Linked DNA regions of Caenorhabditis elegans. The protein of the gene in region 2 purifies or fractionates together with the protein of the main gene of each other region. This does not show direct contact. Each region holds a gene or a part of one and is shown on either strand. Other genes may lie near its edges. The genes, in order: F27D4.4 and T28D6.6.

Region 1 (9,013 bases), on a different chromosome or scaffold from region 2:
CATCAAATTTTTTGATGAAATATCATCAACTACAAAGTTGTTCTTTAGATTAAGATAAACAACTATGTAGTTGATCACATTGCCATAATAGTAAATGCCTTTTTTGAACTTAGGGGTTCTACTGAACCCCAGGTTTTCGTCTGAAATCGTGCTCTGAACATCGAAACTAAAAAAAAAACAATCAAATTTACATTTTTCTATAACATATGAACAAATTAAGAAAAGTTTTCAAAACAAAAAATTTTCGAAAAAATTTTAGAAAATTTTCATAAGGGGGACCGTTTGGATTTTTTTCAAAAAAAAATTCAAAATTTTTTTTTTCAAAATTAGTCAAATATTTATCAGATATTGTAAAAATATGTTTCCCTAACTGCATCTATGTACTTTCTTGCCAAATGTGGTGCTTTCGAAAACTAAGAAACTGTAAAAACCTCTATTCCTCTAACTGATCTACCTACTATGCCAGTTTTTCGAAGTCATGTCCCACATCGGGCAAGCAAGATATCAAAAAACTGTCAACTACAAACTTGATCAGGTTGTTATAGAACATGTTTCATGTTTCATAGTTTCTTGCTTTCTGTGCAGAGTACGGAGATATCATAAGTCAAAAATAGTAATATTTGACTCATAATTAGGTGCTCCTACCTGCTCAGCCATCCGAGAAGGCAAAAAGTTACAATAAGTAATTTGTCAATCCCGTTATTCCTAACAACTTTTTAGTTGACAAGTTTTTCATATTTCAGCTGCCTGCGGAGCTAGAACGTTTTGGAAGTACTGACTTTCTATGAACAAGCCAAATCGACTGTTGTATTTTTTTGCCCAGGAGTATGATTGATCCATGAAAACTGTGGAAAATACTAAAATTTACATTTCCTACACAATCCAGCAGTATTAAATTTTTTTGGAAGAACAATTTTTTCCCAAAAATGTTTCATAAGGGGGGACCCTTATCAAAATTTTAAAATAGTGGAAAATATTTTTAATTACATTTTACTGAACTCAATTTTTTTTCAATTATTTGTTGGTTTCAATCACAAATCACATTTACGACTCAAAGTGATTTTTTCTTTTCTACGACTTCAATATAAGAGCGAGAAAGCATTTCAAAAGAAGCTCTAAACTCAGATGGCAACGACACTCCGAAATAACGGTAGCGCGCCCTCTTTAGCGTAAATCCTCCTCATTTTCGAAATTATTTTTTCACGATTTTTTCTTCCTTTTCTTCGATTTTTCTTTGTTTTCTTCATCAATTCTTTGATTTTTCGGCAAAAATAATTATTTTCCGTATATTTATTGGTGTTTCAGCATTTTCGACATTGACGCGAACGATTGGGATGGCACGGAAATGGCTGGATGAGAGAATTACCGGCGGTGGCGACAACATTGCTTCGCGAAGAACTAAAGATGGAAGAAAAGGTTAAAGTTGAACTCAAAAATGAAGTTATTTATAACAATTTATGTTTTCAGAGTCGTGCAGAGTCGTCGCCTCTTCGACATTGACCACAAGCGTCCGCTAAACCACCTCATCCTTCCATTTTGATGAAAATCAACGTAAAAAGGAACTAAAAAATGAAGAAGCTGTGAAGTAGATTCAAAAGAAAGTAGAAGAATCGAGCCTCACGCGAATACTTTGACAGGCAAACACAAGTTAATAAGAGATGCGAACAATTCTCATCGATTGGTTCAGCGATGCCGTGAAAGAGTACAATTTCCAAAAGGAAACATTTCATATCGCGGTGATCCTCGTGGACCTTGCTCTCCCAATGTTCAATATTGATAAAATGCGATTTCAACTGGTTGGAATGACGTCGATGATGATCATAGTGTATGTTCATAATAAAATATTTCAATGTAATGTAAATTTTAAAAATTTTAGAAAATACGACGAAATCTTCCCACCAGTCGAGTACCCGACATTATTTTGATGGAGCGATTCTTGATTGGAAAGTTCGAATTTGTTGTCGCTAAGCCCACACTATCTTGGCTCGGATCATGATTTGCAAAGAGAATTAACCTTACAAAGTGAGTTTTAAAATCATAATTTTTTTAGCGTTTGGAAAAAACTAGCGATTTCTCTCAACTTTAACGTTAATTTTTTATAGAAAGATGCGGAATGCTGTCAAACTCCTCGAGCTGTCGCTGATAGATGATCATTTTCTACGTTACCGCCCATCTGATGCTGCTTAGAATCACCGAATCAACAATTCGACCAAGTGGCTGCTAATGATGGATCCAAGGAATCGGGAATCGAGACGAGGCTCACACTAAGCCGAAATATTAAATAATATTAATGTTTTTTTCCCTTTTTTCAGATTTATTTTTTCATTTTTCATGTTGAATAAACACAATTTTTGGCAATTTTTTTAATAAACAAACATTTTAATAAACAAAAAGCAGTATTCCCGGTATATATGGACCTAATACAGAATCTACAAGAACCTGACACAAACCTGACGTTGACCTGTTACCGGCCCGCGGCGGCTTAGTGTCAACTTGACAGCGGGCCGCGATTTCACCTGCCAGTTGTTCTCCATTCAGCAGCCAGCGACCTGCTGGCAGGTTGCCACTAACCTGACGCGCTTTACCTGTGCCACGGAAGCGGCCATTTTCTGATGGAACTGATAAAATGGCTAGCCTAAGGGAGTCCATCCAAGAGAAATAAGTGTACTATCAGGAGGACATAAGAGGCGACAAAAATGTGTAGAGGTAATGTATTTTGCTTTTTATTGGATGAAATACTCTCAGTAGCTTACATTTATTGCAGTGGCTTAATTAAAAACCGAGGGCGGGTCTCACAGCGATTGAAAATTTTTCAGAAAGGTTGCCCGCCGGCACGTGCGCCTTTAAACAGTACTCTAATTAAGAAACGCGTCTCTCTAAATACTTTTCATAGATTAACTGATATTTACAAAAAATTGCCTTAAAGAAATTCGAGTCCTAATGTTGGAGCCATTAAAATTTCAAAATAAATGAAACTCACCATTAAAATTGGCAAGGATTTTTTAATGGTAATTGATAGCTTTATTCAATATTATACAATAAGAATTATGAAGCAATTGATGCTGATATCATGGCGACAGAAGCTGTGAAATCATGGTGAATTAAAATTTAAGTACAGACAATCACAATAGATTAGGTAAAAGCTCTCACAACCGGATGATGGCAAATCTCAAAATTAATAATAGAAAGGGAAATGGGACAGTCGAGGGTAAAATAATTTCAATAAGTATTCAACATGAAATATTTAGAAGAAGATCTTTGAGACAGCTTCTCTTGCATAAGGAATGTATGAAAGTGAGTACCAAGCCATTGCAATGTACTGTCCAGCAGTACAAATTATTGCGAGAAGAGAATTTTTCAGGACGAGACCGGAAAGTAATGTTAGAAAAATGAACAAAATATACATAGATGAGGCAATCCAACGACTTTTATCGAACATTTTCTTGATTTGTCCGATTGGTCCCATTAAGCAGCACGTGCTCGAAAGGGAAAGAATTGCACTGATTGAAGTCATTATACAGAAACCGGTGATTTTTGTGAGGAGAAGGAGGTAGCTTCCCTGAAAGCATAAATGAATTATATTTACAGACGGACTATCAAGCTTAATTTTTATGATTACAAATTTCATGTTCATTTCAAAAAACATAACTTACACAGAAACTGGCGATTATTGACAAAATAAAGAGCCCGACGAACGATTGAACTCGAAGCTCCCACGACATTCCTGTTGTCACTGTCTGAAACATTTTTCATAAATCTATCTTTGTTTTTTATTTGGTTTTTGATAAGAATTCAATGTGATAAAAACGACTTACAGGCTGCGAAGGTGATTCCTGAGAAATAGAGGGCCCATTGAGATTGTTTGGGTTTTCCGGATCACTGTTCCGGTGAACACTGCCAAACATTACTGAAAAATGTAAAAATTCGATTAAAACGTTGATAAATAATCAAAATACAAATAAAACCGATAAAATAAAAGTTAAGAGAATAAAATCACAATATGCGCGAACGAGACATCACTGGCGCAGTTCCCGTTTCATTGACGCATTTCTCGATGCAATGTTTTTTCAGCGATCACTGAACACGTTTTTAACCTGTTTTAAGCTCCTTTTTGAAGTTATTATCGATTTTTTTTGTGAAATATTGTGAAATTATATTTTCTGCCACTTTTTATTTTATTTCCAAATGCCTATCAAATCTTCTTCATTTTTTATATGCTAATTTAGGATTGAAACTTTTAAAAATAAATATGCAAACCTTTAAATTAAGATCTGCAACCATGCCGCCGAAGCAACAAGGGCCTAGTAAAAAGTCCGAGCAAAAGCGCAAGGAGAAAGTTATCGAGGACAAGACGTTCGGATTGAAAAACAAGAAAGGAAATAAAAACCAGAAGTTTGTGGCACAAGTTGAAAATCAAGTCCGTAACAACAATACTCGTATGGATCTTGTCCGACAACAAGAAGCAGCTAAAAAAAAAGAAAAAGACGAGCTTCTCGATATTGCCAATCTTTTGAAACCTGTGGAACAAAAAGTCGCAAAAGGTTGCCACTTTTAGATCGAAAAAAATTAAACTGTTGTGAATTTTTCAGATGTCGATCCAAAATCTCTTCTCTGTGTATTCTTCAAACAAGGTCTTTGCGGAAAAGGAGCAAAGTGCAAATTCAGTCACGATTTGGCAGTTGCTCAGAAGACAGCGAAGAAGAACCTGTATGCAGACAGCAGAGAAGTCGAAAAAGACGGTTTGCACCAAATTAAACGTTTTTTTTTGTAATTTCTAAGCATTCCAGAAGAAACAAACGAGAACTGGGACTCGGACAAATTGAATGAAGTGGTCAATAAGAAAAATAAAAATAAACATATGATTGATATTGTAAGCAGTTTCATGACAGACATTTTTAAGTTTAAAAAATTGAATTTTAAGGTTTGCAAGTACTTCTTGGAAGCTGTAGAGAACAACAAGTACGGTTGGTTTTGGGAATGTCCGAATGGAGGAGAAAAATGTCAATATCGGCATTGTCTACCAGAAGGATATGTTTTGAAAAAGGAACGGAAAGCAATGGAGCAACAAAAAGAAGATGAAATTAGTATTGAGGAACTTGTTGAGAAAGAGGTATACTTATAGGGGAAAATAGTGGCAAAAACATTGTTAAAAGTTATTTCAATTTGAAAGACCACATAAATTAAATTTTATTCCAATTTTTCGTAAGAATTATAGTTTAACATTTCCAGAGAGCCGCTTTGAGTTCGAAAAATCTCACAAAATTAACACTCCAAACCTTCATTGCCTGGAAGAAGAAGAAGTTAAGAGAGCGAAAAGAGAAAGAAGAAGCCGATTTGAAAGAAAAGAAAGAGAAGATCAAATCTGGAAAACATGTAAGAAATTTGAATTTTTATTTAAATTTACTACTTTAATTTCTGTTTCTCGTCTCTTTACATAAATTAATGTTTTCTTTTTTTAGAATGGAATGTCTGGACGTGATCTTTTCTTATATGACGCCAATCTGGTCAACAACGACGACGACGAGGCCGGAGATATTGAGATGGAGAAGGAAGAAGTTGATGTTAGTTTTTGAAATTAATTATTTTAATTTTACAAAAATTTAAATAATTTCAGGAGAATGAAAAGGTATTTGAAATCGATGCCAACTTCTTCAAATTCGACGGAATGGACGATGAACTGACGGATCAAATGAGCAAATCCTCGACTGCTGTTGAATCTACTGCTAAAGGTAATTTTTTTCAGTGCGTAAATAAAAAACAATTTTCGTCAAATTTGAATGGCTAATTTTTCTGTTAAAAAACTATTTTTGACACGTGGCTTTTCTCTGGCTGTCAATATCCTCATTTCATTCTTATCAACACAAAAAAATTCAAACATCATTTTGGCTGTCACTTCAAAATCTGTTATCTTTCGGCAAAAATCAATTGAATTTCTCCCTTTCCCACAGACACACGTTTTGCAAAAAAAAAAACGTTTTCTTTATTGTGTCTGGGTCTCTTGTGGCGAGCCGACACACTATCTCAAAAACTAATTTCAAAAATTGCAGGAATGGCAAAGATGGACATCAACGAGGACTTGTTCGACATTGACGAAGACGTTGAAAACCTCGATTCTGATGAGGATTGAAGAGTATACTTCTGGTGCTCCCCCTTTTTTCCTGTTCTTTTTCTGTTTTTGCTTTGAATTTCAGTGTTTCTTTTTTCCCGATTCCCCTGCTATCTATTATTATTTCTTGTTTGTCACGACTAACCGGTAGTCCCAATTTTCTCTGTATTTGATTATTTTTTTCAAATTACAAGGGACTATTATTTGAAGTTTTCTCCATTTTTTGGTGTCGTTTTGTTATAAATTCATTACAATTCAGATGATTTATTTTAATTTTGAAAAAATATCGGTTTTGCCCGATTCATTTATCTTTTATTTTAATCTTCAAATAATGCGTGAACTTTTGATTGAAAAAATTAATTAACTTGGAAATCCTATAAAAGTTTATTTTAAAATTATTGCGATCTTCAGATGAGTTCCCGAGCCGTAAGCCTCTTCTCAAAATGTGGATCCAGAATCTCCCAAACTCGAGGAAAAGCTCACTTCACGTTTCAACCATCAACCACACTTCCAGCAGGACTTGAAAATCTTGAAAAGACTAAAATGAATTTGATGCAGTCTGTTAATGAAGCGATGAGAATTGCAATGGAAACAGATGATTCTGCTGTTCTTTTTGGTGAAGATGTTGCTTTTGGTGGTGTCTTCAGATGTAGTTTGGATCTTCAAAAGAAGTTCGGAAAAGATCGAGTCTTCAATACTCCACTTTGTGAGCAGGGAATTGCTGGATTCGGAATTGGAGTCGCAGCGGCTGGAGCAACTGCCATTGCTGAGATTCAGTTTGGTGATTACATCTTCCCAGCTTATGATCAGGTAATATCCGGAATAAATATTATGGAAATAAAAAAAATTATTCCAGCTTGTCAACGAGGCAGCCAAGTTCAGATACCGTTCGGGAAATCAATTTGACTGTGGAAAACTGACTGTAAGAACAACATGGGGAGCCGTAGGACATGGAGCTCTATACCATTCACAGAGTCCTGAAGCTAACTTCACCCATACCCCAGGATTAAAGCTTGTTGTTCCACGTGGGCCAGTTCAAGCCAAAGGACTTCTTCTGTCGTGCATTCGTGATCCGAATCCATGTATTTTCTTCGAACCAAAGATTCTTTATCGATTGGCTTCTGAAGATGTTCCAACTGGAGATTACACAATTCCACTGGGACAAGCTGAAACTGTTCGTTCTGGAAAAGATTTGACACTTGTTGCCTGGGGAACACAGGTTCATGTTGCTCTTGAAGCAGCTCAATTGGCCAAGGAGAAGCTCAATGCAGATGTTGAAGTTATTGATCTTCAGACGATTCAACCTTGGGACGAGGATCATGTAGTAGAGGTGAATTATTACAAAATTCTGCGAATGCGTATTGCGCAACATATTTGACGCGCAAAATATCTCGTAACGCAAAGTACAGTAATTCTTTAAGTGACTACTGAAGCGTCGATTTACGGGCTCGATTCTTGAAATTAATTTTTTGCGATTAGTTCGTTTCTCCGTTTGGATTTTAATATTCTATCGATAAATCAATGATCTAGCCCGTAAATCGACACAAGCGCTGCAGAAGTCATTTAAAGAACTACTGTAGTTTTCGCTGCGAGATATTTTGCGTTTTTTGTTTGTGTTCGCGTAATATTTGGATGTTGAGTGATTAAATATGAATTATTTTTCAGAGTGTTCAAAAAACTGGTCGACTCATTGTCACTCATGAAGCTCCGATTTCTTCTGGTTTTGGAGCTGAAATTGCTTCTACTGTTCAGGTAAATAATTTATATTTTACTTTCCTTTTTCAAATAATAAATTAACAATCAAAAATATTACAGAAACGTTGCTTCCTGAACCTTGAATCTCCAATAGATCGTGTTGCTGGATTCGATACACCATTCCCACACGTTCACGAACCATTCTACCTGCCAACTGTTCATCGAGTTTTCGACGCAATCAAGAAGAGTGTTAACTATTAGAATATGTATTTGATATAAGAAATTATACAAGGTAACAACGAAACCGTGTAGAAAAGTAGAATATTTTCTTGTTTTAGCCTAATTTTCTGTTCAAACGGTGCCATCTGCATTTTAAATCACCCATATTTTATTCCGGTCCAAATCGCTAAACCCATCATCATAAATGTGTTGGTTTTTGACATTATATGTCGAACATTCCCTCAATTGCTCGTTTTAGATATTTTCAGTGTGCTATAGTTCTTTTATGTGTTTTATGAATAAATGTATGAATTGATTTTTCTAAAAGTATTTTCATCTTTTTTCTTCGTTGGATTCTCATCTAATATTTGATTTTTGATTTTTCCTGTAAAAACGGGAAATGCGGATTTTCAGATCTCTTCAAAAAGCGGGATGAACCATATAATAGCTGCGGGTCTTCTAATCATTGTCTCAATTGCATCAATTATTCCTGGATTTCCTGTGCTCATCTGGCTTCAGAGTTATTTCCCAGAGCTCCCAGAATATTACACAATTGATAGTATTGCTGTCTATAGTGTTCAGGTTAATATTCTCATTTTCATCAGATACCTGTAATATTACCCGGTTCCAAAATTTTGCAATTTTTGACATACAATACTTTATCTCGAAGCGACCGAAAGATCCCAGTTACCGTACCCACAAGTCTTCCTACCGCATATTTGCATCTTTCTGTTCAATGTTTTTTGCAATCACTGGAAAATTTGGAAAGAAGCTCAAATTGTAAGAAATACTGATATAAGCAACATTAAAAAGCGAGAAACTTGCGGGTACGGTAACCATGAAGTTTTCGGGCCCAAAATTGCATCTTTTCTAAACTAAGTAACTTGTAGACTGCTAATTTTGTTTCAGTTTTTGAATTTAATTTTCAGGCCGGAATTATCTTCATCCTCGGAATCCTGTCAATGTGTCTCTACTCGGACATCGCTTGCCCAC
Region 2 (9,368 bases):
CGGCTCTTCTGTGCACTACTTCTAAAAAGAAAACCGCATTTTTCGATAAGTAGCCTCATTTTCCGTCAGTTTTCCTGCTCCAAAAACTCTTTTTCTCGGATTTTCCACTCCGGGGGGGGAGAGCATGGAAACCCGAGTAGTTGTCAGTCGGGTGAGGCGGATTAGGTTTCAGGGTCACAAGAGAGAGAGAGAGAGAGATAGAGAGATCTAAAAATCCGAAAAATCAACAACTTTCAGACCGATGATCTACCGGTGGTGGATATGCGAATGCGACAGGTGAACACCGAGGCGAAACTCTACACCGGCGACAGTTATGAGGTAACTGATTACACCAGAAATAGTCTTAAATCACGTGGTGTCAGGCTGTCCCATGTCGGTTTGATCTACGTAGATCTACGAGAATCGCGGAAATTTATACACAGACATCTCAACTGATTTCACATGGTTAGGAACGTGCTTACGTCACATTTCTTTGGGAAAAAATTCCGCATTTTTTGTAGATCAAACGGTTATGGGACAGGCTGACACCATAACGAAAAACGTAAATTGCGGAAGAATTCTGTCCAAAATGCGAACTACACCCGCCAAGCAGCGATTCGCTCCGCCCACTTCATCTGATTGGTTCAAAAGTAGGCGGGGCGAATCGCTGATTGGTCGGTGATCTCTCAGAGGGAATATAGCCTTGGAAATTGGTCGCGACAACTTTTAAATAGATAAGCTCAAAAACGAGATTCAGGAGTACTTCAAGCGACGGATCTCGACTATAGTCTCCCATTACTGTCAGCACAATGCGAATGAGTGCCCGGGTGTTACTCTACGCATGAGTCATGTGAGTCAGGTATTGCACGTTTTTTTCTTCTTCTTTCCTTTTCTATCGCAAGTAGCCAAAGCTTTTCATCTAGAAAAAGCCTTAAAATTGCTGAAATTGGCTGAGCAACGTCACGCACGATTATATTCGATTGATTTGCAAAAAATCAACCATTTAACCCACGTATTCGTCGTCGTGATCACTTTTTACCAAAATGCTCGGTTCTCTTGATTTTCTCTGATTAATTATATTATGTTTTATGCATTGTGGGGTTTTCCACAACAAAATCCACCAAATTTTTGAAGGAAATGCTCCAAAAATTGAGCGATGAAGAGGCCGACGAGCTTGATCTAGACAGATCGGTCGTGTATGCCGAGCGTGACGAGTCGGACCCACTTTTCACAAAGGTGTGCATCATTCTTTGCGAATAAGCAGCGGTGGGCGGCAATCGCCGTTCGGCAAATTTTTTTGGCGACAAATTTGACAAATCGACGAATTGCCGGTTTTCTGATTTGCCGGAAATTTTCAATTCTGACAATTTGCCGATTTGCCGGAAATTTTCAATTTCGGGAACTTGCCGATTTGCCGGAAATTTTCAATTCCGACGATTTGTTGATTTGCCGGAATTTGAATTCCGGCAATTTGTCGATTTGCCGGAAACTTTCAATTCTGGCAATTTGCAGATTTGCCGGAAACTTTCAATACCGGCAATTTGTCGATTTTCCGGAAATTTTCAATTTCGGGAATTTGCCGGAAATTTTCCATTTCGGGAATTTGTCGATTTGCCGGAAATGTTCAACTCCGGCAATTTGTCGATTTGTCAAAAAGTTTCAACTCCGGCAATTTGCCGATTTGCCGAAAAAAATCGTTTGCCGCCCACCTTTGCGAATAACGGCTTTACTTCTACACCTAGGATCCTTTCTTTCGGCTTTTCTGACAGCACTTTTTTGCAGGAAAATGTTGTGATTCTTCGTATGGACCATTTGAAGGGTAATCTCACCAGATTACTCTTCGTTTTGACGAAAAACGATAGGAATAATGGAGTGGTGAATGAGGATACGATTATTGATCCGATTAAGGTAAATCATCTCAGCTTTCTTTTTGCTAATAATCCACAATTTCCAGATCAAATACATCATTGCCAGTCAAGTGGGACCACTTTCTCGCGTGCTCGGAGGCATCAAAATCGACAGTGTCCGCACGGCGAAGATGAAGCGGAACTACGCAGTGCCAGCGGCTGGCGCTCTGAGCTACATTACTCCAGAGCAACGGCTGGACAATCAGAAGAGCAATAAGACGTTGATCACCATCGTCTGTGCGATTGCCACCTTTTTCGCTGCCACCTACTGCATCGCATTGATTCAATGCTTCCGGTGGGTGAGACGGAAGAGTAAAGCTAAGCGAGAAGCTAAGCTGGCAGAGACGAGCCATGTCGCTTCAGTTGATGCGAAGAATTATGGAACTTGTGAGAGCCAGAAGCGGAAGCCATCGAGGAATGGGCACATGGTGCACGCCGAAGAGACAATCCCACTGACCTATGGCCAGATTGATGAGATTCCAGACGTGAGTTTATTCGTTTTAAAGGGCGTGTTCAAATTGAACGAAATTCGAATTGAAACTTTTCAAAATTCGTTTGATAAAACCAAGCTATTTTTAGCTAAATTTAAAAAAAGTCTTCTTACGAAATTCGTTTAAAGGACAACTCGCAGTCTCTTCCGCAGAGACAAATGCGAAATTGGTTCAAGTGCGACGCTTCCCAGCTTCCACGAGAGCCAACGTATCCGACAAACTTTGTGGACTCATATCAGCACCAGCCAGCGGCTACAACTACAACGCCGAAGCCGACGGATGACTTGAAAGGATCGAAGGAAGAGTCGCCGGTGAGTTTTCAACAAATCAAGTAGCTATTTATTGATTATCTCTAATATCTTTGTAGATTCTCACAAAGCGAACTGAGAACAATGGGAATCTACACAAAAACGTGTCACCAGTCCTTTCATCTCAAGCCACCACCAGCTCCGAAGCGATATTCCCACCGTCGAAGGATTTCTCCGACTATGTCGAGGATCAATATCACAAGAGCAGAGCCTCATCGAGTAGTCCGACGGACGAGATTCCAAAGTCTCCAATCGAAGATCCATGGGATGACGCATCGGGTAAATATGCTCCGCCGATGGTCCTACTGCAGTCCGACACTCCGGATCTACCGCTGGTGATGCAAAATCACACAGGGAAGCGGTATGAGGAAGACGAAGTGGATACGGATTTGAAAGGACTGCGGAGTGGTGGAAGTCCAGTATTTGCAAGGCCAAGGTCTCGGAGAGGAAGTCGAATTGATGAGATGGAGGGGCAGTTAGATATTCCAGAGTTGAAGCCGTTGAGGTAATTTTAGATCCGGATAATTCGTAACATTCTCCCGATATTCATCAATATTTCTAAGAAAAAATTCCCAAAAATTCAGATCCGACGACCCTCTGGCCGAACCACTCGACGCGCCGGTTCCGATCAACAGCATCAAAGGATCCGTCGACGAGGAGGATCGGTGGTCTTCGAGTGAGGAAGGCGAAGTCGACGTTTACTATAAAATGAGCGACGATGAGGATGTGACGCGGGAGGAGTTGGACTGGAAGAAGGCGATGGCGAAGGCCGAGCTGGTGAAGGAGGCCGAGTCGCAAGGAAGGATGCTTCCAGGGTCGGAGGATCAGCAGGATCTCAAGGATTTGAACAAGAAACGAACAGAGACACCTCCATCCTCTCCGATTCAGAATCATATTCAGAATCACTTGAATCACAACACCGAGTCTGATTCGGAAGGTGAGATTTTTTGAGATTTCAAGTTTTTTTTTTGAAAAATCTAACTTCTAAACAGTGTTCTTTTCTTCTTCTTTTGGGATTTCTCTCTCTCTCTCTCTATTCCTTAATCACTTTCAGAAGAGGAAGAGCCCGCCAGGGTACAGGATGACGGAAAAGACGCCGAAATCGCCGAAAAAGATGACGATTTCGTGTACGAACGTCTCCGAGAGGAACTTTCTCCCCAGCCTCCGATTGTCGTGGATTTAGACACTGACTTAGATTTTGTGCCGATGAAGGTAACACCATTTTTTGTCACATAAATTTACTAACTTTCCGATTCTTGTGCCTGATGTGCTTTCTAACAGTTCACCAATGTTTTCCGCACAGCTTGAAAATTCTCTAGAAAAACCGATTTTCTAGCTCAAAACTGTGTAATCTTGAATTTACTGAGAAACTGCAAATTTCCCTTAGAAAAATGGAGTTTTTTTAAGACAGAAATTCTGGAAATTCAGTTTGACCTCTCGATTTTCAGCCAAAAATCTATGTTTTCAGCTAAAAACATCAATTTTACGCCAAAAAATCTGAATCTTCAGTTGAAATATTGAAATTTCAGCAAAAAAACTTTGGGATGAAAATGATGAACTTGGAGCCAAAATCTGTTATTTCGAACTCCAAGTCTCAATTTCCAGCAAGAGTGGGAGAAATGAGCTGTATGGGATTTATGTATTAGAGGAAAAGTTTTACATTTTCAGCCAAAAATCCCCATAATTTCATCCAGAAAACCCATAATTTTTTACCGGAAACCTCAATTTTCCAGCTAAAAATCCCCCATTTTTCCGCCAAAAACCTCCAATTTTAGGCCAAAAAAATCCTCAATTTTCCAGCTAAAACCTCCAAATTTTCCAGTCAAAAACCTCCAATTTTTTCGCCCCAAAAACCTCAATTTTCCACCCAAAACTTCCAATTTTTGCAGTCACTACCACCACCGCCACCAGGAATGTTCCCTGATTCTCCACCAGAATCCGGTTCGGGATCCAATAATCAAATGCATCATCAACGGAGTCAGGAGATGAGCGAAGAGGATGAAGATGATCTTCGATAGCGTTTTTGATCCATCATTTTCCCCCCATAAATATATGTATTTTTTGCCTTTTCAAATTGCTCAAATCAATCTTTCGACCCCTTTTTCTTTTCCCCCCCAAAATTTTTATATTTTCCTATTTATTAAAAATTGTAAAAAAATACTTAAAATTTTAAAAACCAATTTTTCGTCGTTTCTCGCTTTTTATCACCCCGGTGTAGAATAAAATTAGATTTTTTTTGGCTCGTAGTAGATTTTTTTTATTTTTTCAAAATAAATTACCCTCTCTTTCCCCCAATCCCGTGTGCCTGTAAGTTTTTGTGAATTCGCAAAAAATAAAGTTTTTTGACCGATCTTTCGGGAAAAAAAAATACAATTTTTAAGATTTTTTCAGGTTAAATTGTGGGTTTTCACAAAAATATCACATTTTTGCGGAAATTTAGAAAAAAAATTTCAAGAATTTTTTTATAGCTTCTAGTCCATTTTTAAAATAAAATTTATCAATTTCCGAATTTTTTTGGGTATTTTTTTTTTCAGAAAATGCTCATTTTTATTGGAGAAATGTTGAAAAATTTACATTTTGAGTGGTTTTTTAAAGATTTTTATCGGAAAATCTGCAAAATTAAGGAAAATATGATGCTGAACAATCTTGGTGGGATCAATTTTCGCCATTTTAATTTATTTTTTGAGATTTTTTGTCAAAAAATAGATGAGAACTATTCAGAACCTTTTTGACGATTTTTATGAGCTATGTTACACATTTTCAGTGTTTTTTCCAGATATTGCCATAAATTTAGAGAAAATTACAATTTTTTGGTAATTTTTTATTGCAAAATTCCACTAAAAACACACCAACAAATCCGATACGGGCGTCTCCGGTCTTTGCGACGTCGAAACCCTCTCCTGGACCACCGCCACCGCCTTTTGGAGTGATCAAATCACGACGGAGCTTTGCGAGTTTTGCCTGGACAAATATAAATGAATTGGTGGATTTTTTGGCGGAAAAATTAAAAAAAATTTCGATTTTTTTTTGCAAAATCCTCCTCTTACCTTCAGAATACCCAAGTGAGCGTTGGTGGCCTTGTTCTTTTGAGTTCTAGCCATCTGAAAATCATTTTATTCTCAAAATTTGCATTGAAAAGCTTCCGCGTGCTCACCTCGGCCTCGATATCCGCGATTTTTTGCAAAACCGACATTTTCAACGGGTTTTTCGGGTTTTACAGGTTCTGTAATAGTTGAATAGTGATTTATAGGCACTTTGTGAGCAAAATAAGCAAAAATTAGACGGAAAAATTAAGAAAATCGGTGAAAAACGAGGAAATTAGGGGTGAATTAGTGGAAAATGCACTTTTTGGAAATTGCCAAAGTACGCAAACACCGAGCTGTTTTGGTTGCGTACTCGGCGCCACATTTGACGAAAAATATTTATTTATTTATTCTTTCCTCAATTTTGAGCTAATTTTTTGCATATTATGGATATTTCAAAGCTAACCGACGTGAAAAAAGTTGATTTATGTAAAAAGTGAGTTAATTTTCACATTTTTTCAAAAAAAAAATCTAATTTCCCTATTCAAAAAATCGATTTTTCCAGGTATTTCCTGATCGGCGCGTGTTTTCTGCCGCTCGTATGGATTGTCAACACATTTTGGTTTTTTTCCGACGCGTTTTGCAAACCGATCAACGCACATCGACGACAGATTCGGAAATACGTGATCGCCAGCATTGTTGGCTCGATTTTCTGGATTATTGTGCTCAGCGCCTGGGAAATCTTTTTCCAGGTAGAAAAAATCAGAAAAATTGAATACTTTTGCTGGGAAATATTTTGCTGGAAAAACGCTTTCCTTAAAAGTCTAATTTTCACTGAAAATTGAAAAAAAAACCAAAAGTTCGAAGTTTTTGGAGAAAAAACTTCAAATTCAAAAATTCTTCAAAAATAGAACTTTCCCAAATGTTTTCCTAAAAATTTAGCGAAAAAAAACGCAGAAAATTTGCACAAAAACATGTTCATACTCTAATTTTTCGATTTTTTTCTGAAAAATTCAAAAATTTCAGCACTACCGCGCTCAAGGCCTCGTGTGGACCGATTTCCTGACATTTGTCTTCCCGACGGGACGAGTTTGAAGCTCAAAATTCCAATTATTGATTGATTTTTCTCCACTGGTTCTTATCGTCTTCTATTTTGATCTCCTGGCGCTTCTGGGCGTTAAATTTGATGTATTTATTGTTTCAATATTTATTCTCACCGATTAATAAATGAATATGTCCAATTATATGTTTAATTTTTAATTTTCGGCAAAAAATCATCACAGAAATCGATTTAAATCTAATCCAAGACTAACAAAAAACATTTAAAAAAAATGGCTACCGTAGCAACTTTAAAGGGGGGCATCGTTTTTGTATAAGCTTGGTCTCGCAGTGAAAGCATGTGTTTGGGATATGCGCCTTTAAGATTACTGTAGCAATTAAAATTGTAAGGAAAAAATCAATAAATCAATAAAAAAGAGTGAAAATCAATAAATTTAAAGAAAATTTTTAAAAAAATCAGTTTTTCAAAGAATCCTCGTCTTCGTCATCCTTGGTGCTTATGCTCATCGCCGATAAATTCGATTCGTCAATTATTTCCTGTTCATAATCTTTTGGCTGACATTTCAGCAAATCGACACGTGGCAAATCCATCTGAAAATCGATAAAATTAAGTTTTTCCGCGTTTTTCCATAAGAAAATTATCAAAAGCAGCGATATTATGCAGCTGTGCCTTTTAAAATCGAGATGCAAGCGCGCTCCAAGGCCAAGTAAAAGCGTTCCGCCCCGAAACGTTGGGTCCCGGTAGGTATTAGCGAAACTCTGTGAATTTAAACGTTTTCAGATAGTTTCGTTTCATTTTTGATTGTTTTCGATGATATTTTGCCACAATTGAAGAAAACAAACTTTTTTTTTTCAATTTTCGAGCTAGCTCATGAACTCACCTGTTGCTCCGGTACACTCCACGGTTTCCACGTAGGATGATGTTTCTCCTTCCACTCTGGATATCCCAAACATGCCTTGTGCAACTTCTTTATAACCTTCGGCGCCACCACCTTCGTAACTCTGTTCACAAGCCACGTGGGAAGTTTTCCCTTTGGATCCGAATGACTTATATAGATAACTTCACATCCTTGCTCTTTTTCTTTGATTAGGTATCCGGAAATGAGCACCGTGGCTCGAATACATCCTTTTGCCGGTGGATAGTCTTCGTGGCATACCGAATGTGAGCAGATTAGACGGTCTTTGTCGGTTTCCAGCCAGCTTCGTTGCATTACGAAATCGCGTGGGCGGATTGGTGATACAGAGTTTACTGGAAATAAAATCATACAATGTTAGCACGTGGTGTCAGAGTGTCCCATTACGGTTTGATCTACAAAAAATGAGGGAATTTTTTGCCCAAAAAAATGTGACGTCAGCCCGTTCTTAACCATGCGAAATCAGTTGAGAACTCTGCGTCTCTTCTCCCGCATTTTTTGTAGATCAAGCCAAAATGAGACACTCTGAGATCACGTGTGTTAAATCCGAAAAAATCAATAATTCTTCAAAAAAATCGATAAAGTCCAAAAAAAACTTACATGAATAATAGCAAACATCATTATTTGGATTAATTGTACCAATCGTCTCTTGTTTTATCATGTACTTGTCCCATTTTGCTCGATAAGCTGGAAAAAGGGAATTTTACAGAAATTCCCAATACAGTACCACTACAGTACTCCTACAGTACCAACGAAGTACCACTATAGTATAACTACAGTACCCATGTGATCACCCTACAGTACCACTACAATACTCCTCGAGTCCCCCTACAGTACCATTACATTATCCTACAGTTCCACTACAGTATCACTACAGTACCCTTCTGATCCCCCTACAGTACCAATACAGTACCACTACAGTATCATTACAGAACCCCTCTAGTCCCCCTACAGTACGGCTACTGTACCAATACAGTATCACTACAGTACTGCTACAGTACCCCTCTAGTCCCCCTACAGTATCATTACACTATCCTACATAACCACTACAATCCCCTACAGTATCACTACAGTACCTCTCTAGACCCCTACAGTACCACTACAGTACCACTACATTATCATTACAGAACCCCTCAAGTCCCCCTACAGTACCAATACAGTACCCCTCTGATCCCCCTACAGTACCAATACAGTACCCCTCTGATCCCCCTACAGTACCAATACAGTACCCCTCTAGTCCCCCTACAGTACCACTACAGTACCACTACAAGATTCCTACTGTGCCCCTCTAGTCTCCTACAGTACCCCTACAGTACTGCTATACTACCCCTACAGTACCCCTAGAGCACTTCTACAGAACCAAAACAACTAACCTGAATCATGTAACACATCATAGACAACTGTTGCAGAAACATCTGGAAGTTGTGCAATAGCCTTAATCATTTGATAACTACTTTTCTCGATATTCTGAGTGCATATTGTGATATCCTTCTTCTTGTAAACTTCTACCCATCCTTCACTATCCTCACAAAGATTTTTCACTTTTTCATAATCCGAGTCCTCCCAAACTCTTGCCACATTGACCCGCATGAGCTTCGAAGTCTGAAGTAATGAATTTTAAAACAAAAAAGTCTGAAAAAGAAACGGAAGCAGCACAAAAAAGTGGAAGTCGGTGGCAAATGAATGA

Evidence for each region.
Region 1: the proteins of T28D6.6 (region 2) and F27D4.4 fractionate together in Caenorhabditis elegans (co-fractionation; one large-scale study listed by BioGRID). This does not show direct contact.

The regions. Positions count from the first base shown.
Region 1 is NC_003279.8:7,720,750-7,729,762, forward strand, and holds F27D4.4 (Zinc finger CCCH domain-containing protein 15 homolog), read left to right. Parts: upstream 1-4,269; 5' UTR 4,270-4,279; coding exon 4,280-4,541; intron 4,542-4,589; coding exon 4,590-4,739; intron 4,740-4,787; coding exon 4,788-4,870; intron 4,871-4,921; coding exon 4,922-5,110; intron 5,111-5,229; coding exon 5,230-5,373; intron 5,374-5,459; coding exon 5,460-5,561; intron 5,562-5,614; coding exon 5,615-5,729; intron 5,730-5,822; exon of another isoform or gene 5,823-5,890; intron 5,891-6,047; coding exon 6,048-6,127; 3' UTR 6,128-6,363; downstream 6,364-9,013. Other genes in the region: F27D4.7 (Vesicle transport protein), read right to left, coding at 3,245-3,559, 3,654-3,737, 3,816-3,905; bckd-1B (2-oxoisovalerate dehydrogenase subunit beta, mitochondrial), read left to right, coding at 6,518-6,916, 6,963-7,436, 7,772-7,858, 7,922-8,062; F27D4.8 (Chromate transporter), read left to right, coding at 8,453-8,602, 8,950-9,013.
Region 2 is NC_003281.10:11,337,201-11,346,568, forward strand, and holds the start of T28D6.6 (Developmentally-regulated GTP-binding protein 1), read right to left. Parts: upstream 5,909-9,368; 5' UTR 5,879-5,908; coding exon 5,840-5,878; intron 5,787-5,839; coding exon 5,733-5,786; intron 5,647-5,732; coding exon 5,535-5,646; intron 5,048-5,534; exon of another isoform or gene 4,704-5,047; coding exon of another isoform or gene 4,575-4,703; intron 3,898-4,574; coding exon of another isoform or gene 3,740-3,897; intron 3,623-3,739; coding exon of another isoform or gene 3,270-3,622; intron 3,191-3,269; coding exon of another isoform or gene 2,745-3,190; intron 2,689-2,744; coding exon of another isoform or gene 2,506-2,688; intron 2,372-2,505; coding exon of another isoform or gene 1,934-2,371; intron 1,888-1,933; coding exon of another isoform or gene 1,762-1,887; intron 1,216-1,761; coding exon of another isoform or gene 1,114-1,215; intron 839-1,113; coding exon of another isoform or gene 737-838; intron 319-736; coding exon of another isoform or gene 238-318; intron 1-237. Other genes in the region: T28D6.5 (CUB domain-containing protein), read left to right, coding at 238-318, 737-838, 1,114-1,215, 1,762-1,887, 1,934-2,371, 2,506-2,688, 2,745-3,190, 3,270-3,622 and 2 more; Gamma-secretase subunit pen-2, read left to right, coding at 6,155-6,204, 6,274-6,460, 6,735-6,803; strt-10 (START domain-containing protein 10), read right to left, coding at 7,224-7,358, 7,649-8,016, 8,282-8,368, 9,055-9,271.